3 linked regions of the Cricetulus griseus genome follow. The protein of the gene in region 1 interacts with the protein of each later gene in a biochemical or structural test. Links are inferred from orthologs where the notes say so. Each region holds a gene or a part of one and is shown on either strand. Other genes may lie near its edges.

The links. The genes of interacting proteins can lie anywhere in the genome.
Region 2: the proteins of Lrrk1 (region 1) and Abl1 form a complex in vitro, tested with the Homo sapiens proteins (2 studies listed by BioGRID and IntAct, with this or other methods). The link is inferred for Cricetulus griseus from reciprocal best matches to the Homo sapiens genes LRRK1 and ABL1.
Region 3: the proteins of Lrrk1 (region 1) and Foxp1 form a complex in vitro, tested with the Homo sapiens proteins (2 studies listed by BioGRID and IntAct, with this or other methods). The link is inferred for Cricetulus griseus from reciprocal best matches to the Homo sapiens genes LRRK1 and FOXP1.

What each region holds. Positions count from the first base shown.
Region 1 is NC_048596.1:131,004,881-131,008,392, reverse strand, and holds part of Lrrk1 (leucine-rich repeat serine/threonine-protein kinase 1), read right to left. Parts: intron 3,425-3,512; coding exon 3,230-3,424; intron 2,371-3,229; coding exon 2,219-2,370; intron 2,011-2,218; coding exon 1,893-2,010; intron 198-1,892; coding exon 81-197; intron 1-80.
Region 2 is NC_048599.1:143,411,975-143,416,017, reverse strand, and holds the start of Abl1 (tyrosine-protein kinase ABL1), read right to left. Parts: upstream 2,803-4,043; 5' UTR 1,513-2,802; coding exon 1,377-1,512; intron 1-1,376. UniProt on the Homo sapiens protein: Non-receptor tyrosine-protein kinase that plays a role in many key processes linked to cell growth and survival such as cytoskeleton remodeling in response to extracellular stimuli, cell motility and adhesion, receptor endocytosis, autophagy, DNA damage response and apoptosis.
Region 3 is NC_048601.1:44,450,568-44,454,628, reverse strand, and holds the start of Foxp1 (forkhead box protein P1), read right to left. Parts: upstream 2,803-4,061; 5' UTR 2,647-2,802; intron 829-2,646; 5' UTR 719-828; intron 1-718. UniProt on the Homo sapiens protein: Transcriptional repressor. Can act with CTBP1 to synergistically repress transcription but CTPBP1 is not essential. Plays an important role in the specification and differentiation of lung epithelium.

The DNA of each region.
Region 1 (3,512 bases):
ACTGTCCCCAGCTCAAATCACTGTCCCCAGAAAGTAGGGCCTCCCACACAGGTCCTGAGCATCCTTCTCTCCCACCTTACCTTTTTAATAACAGGCACTGCTAAGAAGCAAGTGACAACAGCCGGGGTGTCCAGGGCCTTCTGGGGCATGCTCAATGGGCACATGCCTTTAAGACTGTAGATATAGATTTTCTGGTCCTGCAAAAGGAGACAAGCCTGCTATAAGAGCCAGAGAGGGAAGTGACTGGCATGCCCTATTAGGATGCTTTCTGCCTGGGGAACCCCTTTGTACCTTAAAAAGGCAGCATTTTGTTTGGTTATTCATTTCTGTTTGTTTGTTCATTTGTTTGTTCATTTGAAACAGGGTTTCTTTGTGTACCCCTGGCTGCCTGGAACTCTCTCTGCAGACCAGGCTGACCTCAGACTCACAGAGATCCCCCTGCCTCTGCCTCCTGAGTTCTGGGATGAAAGGTGTGCACCACCACTGCCCAGTAATTTCTGCTTTTTGTAGAAACTTTGAGAAATACAGAATAGTCTGGAAGAAAATGAACTGGTAGTCCTTAGGATGGGGGGACAGAGCATCTCAGAAAATTGTTGTGGGTGTACATGAGCATTCTACTAATAGAGTGGGGTCACTGGACAGTGACACTGTGCCATAGGCAGAGCCCTTTCACTCCTTTTACAGTCGATAAGGGGGTCAACTCCCCTGCCCATTACTTTTAGTGAATTTGTTGTCGCTACTAAGAATTACATTGAGGTAGGCTATTCTTAGAGATCTCTCTTTGTGTATTCTCTGAGAACAAATTCTTTATTCTTGAGGTCTCAGTAGCATGGGTACTTTTGGAGAATCTCACACATAGCCATATTTCCAAACAGTTATGTAATGTAGATGGACTTGGATGATCATAATCCCAGAGCATGTAGTTTGGGGCAGTCTTTGGATTTCTCACAAGACAGCTACTCAGGTCTTCCAATGACTTCTGGATATGGAGCCAAAAGGTTTTCAGGGATGATCTGTGCTCTGTGGCACCACCAATACACCCAGTTTCTGTGGTGATATCTTGCTTGTACAAATAAAGCCTATCTGAAGGTCAGAGAATGGAGCTTGCCACCAGCTAATCACAGAGGTTTGTATAGACAGACAGGAAGTGAGATGGCTGGGTAGAGAGAGGATATCGGCCGGCAGAAACAGGAACTTGCTCTCTTGTCTGCTGAGAGGCTAAGGGGGTAAGGTGTGGCTGTGGCTTGCTCCTTCTCTCTGATCTCACAGCATTCTCCTTTTTTAAAAAAAAAAATTATAAACTATTTGGCAGTAGGCTAAGGCTTCTTATTGGCTAGCTCTTTCTTAACTACTAACCCATTTCTGTTAATCTATGTAACTCCACATGGTCTTGGCATACCGGAGAATGTCCAGGCACCCTACTTTCCCAGTGGTTACATGGCATCACCCTCTCCACCCACTCCTTGCATTCCTCTTCCTAGAATTCTCCTAATCTGGTAGCCCCACCTATACTTCCTGCCTGGCTATGTCCTGCCTGTCCATTGGCCAAAAACAGCTTTATTCATCAGCCAATAAGAGAAGCATAGATTCACAGCATATAGAAGGACATCCCCCATCAAGTTTCTCCTGCTGAGATTATCCACCTGCCCTCACCACCCTGAATCCTAGCTCCCGGCTGGTGGCAAGCACCACTCAGTAGCAGTCTAGCAGCTCTCCTGGTGACCTACCTCACAGTACTGATGGCATTGCTCTAGGGATTCTCAGGGACAAGCTGGGGTTACCCGATAATCAAGTTGACCTGGAAACCTTGTAGTTTTTACAAACCTGGTCCCCCTGGGAACTGGACCCCTCCAAAGCCCACCCTGCCAGGGGCCCTGCGGGCTGGCAGTTACCTCGCTGGCTATCCACACTGAGCTCTGGACCTTGAGCTGGCAGCTCAGCTTCATCCCAGCACAGGCCATCCTCTGTACTTCCAGAAGGCCCTTCTCTGTGTTGACCACTGTGTAATTCCTGTGGTTGGCAACAACTTGTGGTCAGTTCCAGATAGCCAGCGGCCACCTCCTTCCCCAGGCTGGTGCAGTGGCCTTAGAAGAGGTGTGCTCTAACCAGGCTTTGGACTCCGCTGTCTGCTAAATCATGTGTGCCATCAGCATCATTGCTCTTCTGTTCCCAGTGCCACCCAAGACATAAGCAGGGAAGGATAGACCGGAGACATTACCTGGACTCCTCCTTCCCATCCCAGAACACCACAGTGTACTCCTGGCCCTGGGATGAAAAGAAGGCTGACTGCTTTCCACAGGGCAGCATGTACATGAAGGTGGCGAAGGTTGGGTCCTTCATCTGGCTCACGACAGACAGGGCTAGTGGGCGCTGCAGGAGAGAGGTCCCTAGTGAGCACTGCTGTGCAGTTTCGCTACATAGGGCCACTGGCACCAGCCATGGGCATATGAGAATCTTTCCACTAGGGTTAGCCTAACACAAGACTGAAAAGGCTTCAGAACACCCTCCCCCTCCAAAAAATAAAGGCCATTCATAGTCTCTAGGTCATCATGGCCACAGTAATAAGATCAGTTGGTCTGGAGACAAAGGCCCGTTGTGTCACACCTTAATCCCAGGGACATGAACTTTTGTCTCATATTGTATTTGTAATGCATTACATGAACTATCTGATCTGATGGACAAATGTACTAAGCTTGATCGTAGGGGCCTCTTCTGACGAACAAGGAGCTATCTTTGATAATGTAACAGGGTCCCTGCTTCTCACAAGCAAAACTTCCAAAGCATGCCTTCCCCCTGTTCTTTCGTGGGGACTATATTGCCACAATGGGTTTAATATACAAATTGAGTGATACTCAAAAAGTTCCAGATTCAGGAGTATTTTAGAGTTTGGATTTTTGGATTGGGGATGTTCAACTAGCACATAAATAATATTCTAAAAATCTGGAAAACTCTAAGACTTGAAATACTTCTGGTCCCAAGTACACAAGCTGGGAATAAAAGGGTAACATTTCCTCAGAAGGACAGACAGACATGTAGGCACACATGTATGTATACACACCAAGACTGGGAGATACATTAGGGAAACTAAAGCTCCCTCTAGGAGAGACAAACAGAGAAGATTGCCCAGCTGTCCTTAGGGAGGGTGGGTGAGCAGCACAGGTGTGCTTTGGAGACCCACAGCCCCTACCACTGGGGAAGAAGGGCTCAGGCTCCACTCTGTTCCATGTACCTTCTCCGGCTTTGTGTCCCAGCACTCCATCATGAGCGCCTGGAGTCGATGGAACTGCACTTCCTCTGGTTGCCCCAGAACTGGGCGGATGCCCTTGGACAGCTTCTTGGCAATCTGAAGTTGGTGGTGTCCCAGCGCAGGACGCTGTCCTGACAGCAACTCATACAGAACCATTCCATAGGAGAACATATCTACCTGGTCAGAAAGGCAAGCCGAGTTAGGTTTCCTGCCTGGGTCCAGCAACCTCAGAAGGCTGGCCCTGAGGGGGAAGGAACAGGAAGGC
Region 2 (4,043 bases), on another chromosome or scaffold:
GCTGCTCTTACAGAGGACCCAGGTTCAATTCCCAGTATCTACACTGTGGCTCATGACCATCTGTAACTCCAGTTCCAGGGGATCCAACATCCTCTCCTGACCTCTGTAGGTATCAGGCACGAACATGGTGCACATACACACACCCAGGCAAAATACTGACACACATAAAACAAACTAAACCTTAAAAAAAGAAAACTTCAATTATCAAATATAAGTTCACCCAAAAGCAGCCATTGTTTATAGTAGTCACCTATTGTTAAAACGTATTTATGACTGAATTTCAAAGTATACGAGGCATTTGCATAGGCTACACTTGCTTATATGGCATGATGGTTCAATTGGTATTTTGATATTAAGTATACAGTTTGAAAAATGACACTGCCACAGTACAACCAGGACGGTAATTTACTAGCTCCTGGATGGCCTCTGCAACACGTTAGTCTAACCTGACCTTAACTATTAGCCAACAACAAGACATGTACTGTCAGCCTTATGAACAAATTAGGTTCATAAAAATGTCAAAGCCAACTAAGCAGGAAGAGATGAGGGTGAAGAAAGCTCCATCAATGAGGACAGGGTTATTCCTTAAAGTAACAGAACAGTCCTCAGTTCAGGGGCACACTGTTTCCACACTCAACTTTCCCTACCTTGCTCCAAAGTGAGAATTTTCAAGTCCTGCTTATAATTGAGAAAATCAAAAGATAGCATCAATTAGGTTCTATTAGAACCTTTCAATACACAAATCACTTTGAGGATACGATACAAGTGCTCCATAGACGGGCAGTAAAAAAAAAAAATCCATGCTTACCAGGTGGTGGTGGCACACACCTTTAGCCCCAGCACTCAGAAGCAGAGGCAGGCAGATCTCTGTGAGTTCAAGGCCAGCCTGGTCTACAAAGTGTGTTCCAGGATGGCCAGGGCTGTTACAATGGGAAACCCTGTCTTGAAAAACCACCAACCCCCCCCCCAAAAAAAAACAAACAAACAAACAAAAAAACCAAAAAACAAAAACAAAAAAAACCATGCATAACAGTAGACTCCCAACTTTTAGCGAGAGCAGATGGGAAGAACTATGAATACTTCAAAAGCACCTAAGTCCCCTCCCCTCCCTCACGAATGCAGGCCCCCAAACAGTAAAAGGACTTGTCCCATGTCAACAATGAACCTGAAGTGGGATGTGGCTAGAAACAGCAACTCAAGCAGACTGAATAGTCATAATTTTCTTATGCAAAGAACTGCTCCACCAGAAAAAGAAACTAGTAACTACAGTAGCAAAAACGCTAAGCAGATACAGCAGGAACCGACACAAGCATTGTTTCATAAAGTCCTTTGATGTTTAAGGAAAAACAATGATCAGAAACCTGGAAAGCACTCACCATGTTCCACGAACACGTTGCAGTGTGGACCCCCATGCCGCGATGAGTCCCTCTTCCCTGCCCCTTTGATAAAATGAAGGGCAGGCAAACTAGGCCTTCTTTGGTCCCCAAGAACTTTTCCAGGCTGCTGCCCCATAAAGCAATGATAAGCACCCCTTTCCAGAAGAGGGTTTAAGATCTTCCAGAATGGTCCCCTCAGTAGGAAACAGAATGTACCCAGAACTTCACAACACTGACTCCACGGCAGTAACTGGGGTCAGTCACAGAAAGTCAACTTCCATGAGAAAGGGAAACTGGATTTGAGGTTCACACATGTAAACAGGAGTCTGGAATTCTTTTCCAAGTTAATTAATTTGAAGTCATGTCATCGCAACGCTACCCAAAAGCTTCTTGACTCCGTCTATTTTGCGGATTGAGGAACGTTTCTTTGCAAGGGGCGAATTTTAGATAGAAATATTCATTGGGGAGTCTGAAAAGGGTCAACAGTACTAAAAGTCATTTCAACTCCCCAGCATGCTGGAGACGTTGAACGTCTTTGACGCTTCTCTGCAACTTTTCCTGTGGAAGTCACCAATCCCCTATCTGTCTCTCTCTCCAACAAATTTCCTGCCGCTCTCTTCCCTATCCTGTTCTCCGGAAAATGACTCGGGTCACACAGATCTCAACCAGAGCTTGCTCTCCACACTGTCGAAAAGGAATGCATGGCCAGCAACTTTTTTAAGTCCGCTTTTTAAAAGGCCTGTGAAACCAATCCAGACTTTTTCTTTGCATTAAAGTTTTGGGCTGCACTGAGACCAATGGGGCTGTAGGTGACATTGGAAGAAGTCAGGACATCGGAGGCCGGCGGAAGCAATCTGGGAGGACCGTGGAGATCTCTTGACAGCAGAGAGATTTGAATGAGGGGCTCCGTGGTCAAACTTGGGGTGGGAATCGAGCGAAGGGCGGCCTCGGGGTGAGACAGAGACTTCCCCAGGTGGGGCGCGGGCGGCTTACTCGGGGGCGACGTTCCTCCTCGCCTCAGGAAACTGAGTGTCCCAGGTAGGTTGAAACTGAGACCACCCTGGGTGTCCCAGAGCCAGAGCAGAGCTGTGAGGGACGAAGGTCTCCCGCGGTCCCGAAACGGGAGGCGGCCACGGGAGGAGGCCCGGCGCCTCAGCTGCGCCGAGCCAGGGGTCTACCCGAGACACCCCTCCCCCGGCCCCGGACTCTGCCGCCGCCGCCGCCAAGCAGTCACATCCCCGGCTCTGCCGAGGGACCGGGCTTCTTCAGCCAGAGGGGGGTGTGCCGCGGAAGGGCTCCTCAAACGCAGGACGCTGCAACCGGCTCCGGCTCCAGCGCCTCTCAGGGATAGACACCGACCCCCGAGGCCGCCATGATGGATTACGAGCCGCACCACAACGAGGCCAGGCCCCGCCCCCCGACCCCGCCCCCAACGACGCCAGAACACCCTGCGCGAGGTCGGCCTGGCCGCCGCCGCCGCTGTCCTACGTGCCGCAGCACTTTCGGGGTCTCGCCTCACTGCCCGCGACAGGCCGGCTCCGCACGACCTCTTAAAGATAGGTTTTCTGAGCTCAAGGTGAGCGATGAGGAAGCGCCCGCCTCCTCTGCATTATCACTGGTCTTCCTACGACTGGAGTCTGTCCCCTCACCGCCGTCCAATTGGCCAGTGAGGACGAGAGGGGCCAGCTAATTGTGTTTGGTGCTGCCGCAGTGCATGTTGGGACTTGTGGTCCTGGCGCCCATGGGCTGCTCGCTGAGGCCCCAGCCTCCAGCTCCTATAGCTAGAGAGCTGGTCCCGCCTCCTGGGAGCCGGTGGACTCCGGTCAGCCAACGTCTTCACTGCTTGAGTAGCAAGACCGCGGGAGATTCAGAGCCAGGGGAAAACTATGGATTGGAGTTTTCCAGAACCGGAGTTGGATTACTTCTTTGAGCCTCGTTAGGGGAGAAACTTTTGGTTCGCTCCTAGATACCAACGTGACCGGTTCGTTACATCCTCATCACTCGGGAAAGGCATAAATATGGGAATCTGTGAAGAAGAACTGAGGAAGCAAGCAAGCATCGACGATTCTTTGTGATAGGAAGAAGTCGAAGAAACATTGTTCAGAGTATGCCAGGCGTGATCGTGCATTCGTGCACGTTTGCACTAGTATGAATCCTTACCATGATAGTCCACAGTGAGACATACATTCCCGTAAAATTCGAAGTTAGGCGAAAATTGTCCAGGTTATCCGATCTCAAAAGCCTGTGAAACTACCCCACACCTGTGAAAGTTCATCCTCTGCCCCGCCCCCCACCCCCAGTCTTCACTGTTCCTGAACCTATTTCTTACTTTTTGGGTTTTCGAGACATGTTTTTTCTGTATTGCCCTGGCTGTCCTGGAATTCACTCTGTAGACCAGGCTAGCCTCAACCTCAGAGATCCACCTGCCTCTGCCTTCCAAAAGAGTGCTGGAATTAAAGGCGTGTGCCACCACCTGCTGGGCACCTGGACCTATTTCTCATAGCACTTACAATCTGAACTTTTATATAAAATGCTTTACCCCAATCTTTTCACCCATCAAGGTATGAATAAAATACTGTTCCCACTACACAGGTGGAAAAGCATTCATAGACGTGATTGAAGTGTCAGGTCTCTGCCTGATATTAGGGAATACTGCAGTGATGTATG
Region 3 (4,061 bases), on another chromosome or scaffold:
AACATTTTCAGGAACAGAAAAAAATTCCTTAGATATCCTTGGGTGTTTTTCTCAGCTTAGCTATTTTGTAAGTTCTTCCAGGCTATGGCCCAAGGAAGGTGAAGTGCATAGGGCTCCCAAAATGTTCCCGCAGCCTTCTTGCTTAAAGAGGAGAGACAGAATAAGAAATCTGATCCTGGAAAATACCTGGAGCCTGCCGTGAGAGCAATCCTGAGCCCTCAGCAGTGTGCTGAAGAAGCTCAAATGAAGTGTTCATATTAATTTCATTATTCTACTTAAACCACCCAGATGAAGGGGCTGGTGGGGGGGGGGACAGAAAAAGGAAGGAATAAGTTTCATTTTGGGTCCTCTAGTCAAGCAATAAGAAAATAAATTAAGATGAAAGCGTAGGATGAGCCTAGCCTAAATCAATACACTGAAATCAGCCCAGCTAGAGTATTGGACACAATGGCTTGGAAATAATTAATAGTTATAAGGGGGGAGCGGGCTGAGAGCAAGGGATGTCACCATTTTACACTTCACATTCCACGCTAACTTTGATATCGGATTCAGGGAAGAAAGTGATAGAAAAGGGAGAAAGCAGGTCCCAGCCTGATGGACACATTCCTTGCTCCCCGTGGCTGGTCACAGCGATCTGGTTGCCCAGGCTGGTTGGTACAGCGCCTCGGCTTCCCCGCTTCCCCCCGCCCGCACGCCTGCCACGGCCGCCTCGACTTACCCACCGAGTCTGGGGAGGAGGCGCCGGCAGCTCCACGCTTCTCCGCGCCGCCGCTGCCCCTCGCCCGTTCGCCCGCCGCGCGCCGTCCTCCTGGGGCAAACTTTCGGGGTCTGTGACCGACAAGAGACCGGGACGACCCTCAGCAAGTCTTCCTTCCGTGAAGGTTTCGGGGTGGGGGGGATCGAAGGGGACGAGGTGATTAGGCGGAAGGGGGCGAGACCAGAGATAGAGGAGGCAACCTCCAAGCGCTCGGGGACAGGGGAGGAGGATGCGCGGCCGGGAATCCCTGCAGGGATCCGGAGACCCGGAGCGCGGCCTGAGCCTTAGTCTCAGCACCTTCCCGGGATCTTACAAAGTTGCAACAACAAAAAAGGAGGGGCAGAACCGGGGGAAAGGGGTGGGATAGGGCTGCGATGGCAGGCGCAAGGTTTGGAGTTACAACTGTTTATTTAGTCCTTAAGGCTCCCAGGGGGCGGGAGCTGCGCGGGAATGGGGGTGCTGCAGGCAGCAATTTCCAAGCAAACACGGAGGGGGGGGGGGCATGCGACTTTGTTTCTGGGCTCGGAGCTCCCTGGCGCCCGTGTGTGTCACCGCCAGTCTCCGGGGACTGAGGCGGAGCTCACAACAGGTGGGGAGGGGGACAAGGAATCAAAGTTTCCGAGAGCGGCGGGAGGGGGGGGAGCGCGGGAGGCGGGGGCGAGGGAAGGCGGAGGCAGCAGATGACCACGACCCTGCGGCAGCTGGCAAACTCCTCGGCTCCCGGCGCCGCCGCCACCGCCTCGGTCCCCACCCGAAGCGCGCGCCGCCTCGTCTCGTCGGCTCCGGAGAGACGTCTCCGGGGGACAAGAACCGAGTGCCGAGAGCACGGGAGGAAAGCTGCGCACAGGCGAGAAACGGAGAGCCATCGGTGGCCGGGACAGGGCCGGAGGGACGCGGTGGCACGCGCGTGTAGCAGGACAGATCCCTGAGCTTAAGAGGCGCAGGAGTCAGAAGCGAAAGTGTATGGTGGCGGGGGATCCAAAGTACGGGCGCCGAGGGTCCTCGAGACGTGCCCTGTCCCCATGCCCACCCGCGATTCGGCTACGGCTGCCGCGGGCGCCGTCTCTGACAAGCGGGGGCCGAACGCGCGTGGGGTGCGTGTCTGGCAGAGGGTGCGCGGGTGTGTGTATGAGTTTTCTGGGCTCCCAGGGGTTAGCTAGAGAGCATCCACACGGCTGAGTTCGGACCAAAACACGCGTGGCTACAGGGATGTCGCCAAGCACCGGGCCCAGGGCGCAGGCGTCCCTGCTCAGCCCTCCAGCATTCGCCGGGCAGCCCGGGGTACAGAAGGGGCACGCACCCTTGGATAGCAGGGGAAAAGTTTGCTCCAAGTTCAAACTTTGAGCTCGGGAGAGGATGCCGCACGCCCCCGCCAACCGCGGCCGGGTTCCGGGTACCCGTACCAGGCGGCCACCAAACGCTGACGCTGGGCACTCAAAGTTGCGACAGGCGGCCTGGGCTTATTGATCGCTGTACCCGAGCGGTGTGAGCGAGCGCAGGGGCGCGAGGGGCCAAGGGGGAGACGAGCTTGTCCGTGCGGTCACCACCGCACCCCACAGTGACTTATGCAAATGAACCCAAGGGTGCGGGCGCCTCCCGCGCTTCCTCCAAACCGGCGCCCGCGCGCGGCCCCCACCCACGCAGATCCTGGGCCCCGATTCGGGAGCGAGTCAAGAACAGAGGGTTGGGGGAGATGCACGTGGAGCCTGGAGATGAAAAGTAGGAAATTTTTTCTGTATCTTTTTTTTCTTTTTTTTTTTCCTTTTTTTTTTTTTTTTTTTTTTTTTTTTTTGGTGCTGGTTGTTGTTGTTGTTTAAAGTGGCGGAAACAAGGCAGGAGGCGGCTTGGGGAAAAAAAAGTGGAGCAGAAATGGAAAAATACGAACTCACCCGCGGCAAATGGTCTCTCGGTGCAAACTAAGGTGTTTTCGGGGCCTTTCCCCGCGCGCGCCCACTCCCGCCCGCGCGCGCGCCCCCCGCTCACACACTCACGCGCGCACACACGCACTCGCGGGCGAGGGCCGGGCCGCGAGCACAGCGTGCAGCTGCCACACAATAAATAACAATAGATTCCTCCGCTTGGGACTCGTTCCCGAGTCGCGCCAGCGTTGCAGCCGCGAGGCGCCCCCAACCCGCCCCAGCCCCCAGCCGGGTCCAAACCCCGCCATGCTCACTCCCGAGGCCCCCGCGACCCCCCGAGAGCGACCTACACCTCTCTACGCCGCCCTTGGGTCGCCTGCCCCCTCCCCGCGGCATCCCGGAACAAATAAATAAATAAGGCGCGCGCGAGAGGCCATCGCGTCGCGGAGGGAGATGTTGTTATTTTTTGCTGTTGTGCGTCTCTGACGTCACATCCACCTGCTGGGTAAACAACAGGGCTCGCAGAAGAAAAAAAAAAAAAAAAAAGAATCGCAATTGCCAAGTGAGGGACGTGGGGAGGGGAAGAGGAGAGGGAGGCAGAGCCCCGAAACCCGGGACGGGAACGCCACAACAGTTCCCAGGCAAAGGGAGACTGGATTGAAAGAGCTGGAAAATGAGGGGCCTGGGGGGTGAAGGGGTCCCCTCAGGAGAAGAGGAGAGGGACCCATGCAGACCCAGGGAAATGGAGAGGAGGAGTGTCAGCAACTAGGGACGCAGAGGGGAATGCCAGGGAGGTTCCGCTAAGATCTGAGCTCCAAAATCCAGGAGGGGAGAGGACAGGCGGAGATGGAGTTTCCTCCAGTTAAAAGTGAAAGTGCTTCGCCTGGGTGACAGTTGGAGCGGAGGGCGGCAGGGGCGGCGTTCCAGCCCCACGCCTGCTCTCGGGTCCTCCCTCGGTCTCTCCCCTTTCCTTCTGCACTTTGTCCAATGAAAGAAGGCGAGTTCGGAAGGTGAAAGTTCAGCTGAAGGACAAACCCCTGATTGCAAGGAAACAGAAACCCCTCCAGCCAGGGGGATTTTCCCCTGCATCGCGGAATCGGGAGAGAGTGATGAGAGCAAGAACTTACTCCCTCAGGCCTTGTCAGTCTCTGCAGGAATGTTGTCCCTGTCGCCAGGTCCACTTGGGGGGAAAGTGGCTGCAAGGAGAACTGTGTTTTCGCCACGGTTCCTCTTAAGAAAACACCCGGGGGCTAGCATGTCAATCACTTGTTTAACACAAATTACCTGCTCTCTCGAACATCAGTCACGTGAGAAAAAAGCTTTGTGCAATTCTTTGGGAAGGTGAGATTTTTTTTTCTTTTTGCTGTAATGAAGTTTGTTTGAGTGTGTGAATTTAAATAAGTACCCAAACGAGCCCAGATGAAATGTTTTTGAAATATAAATAA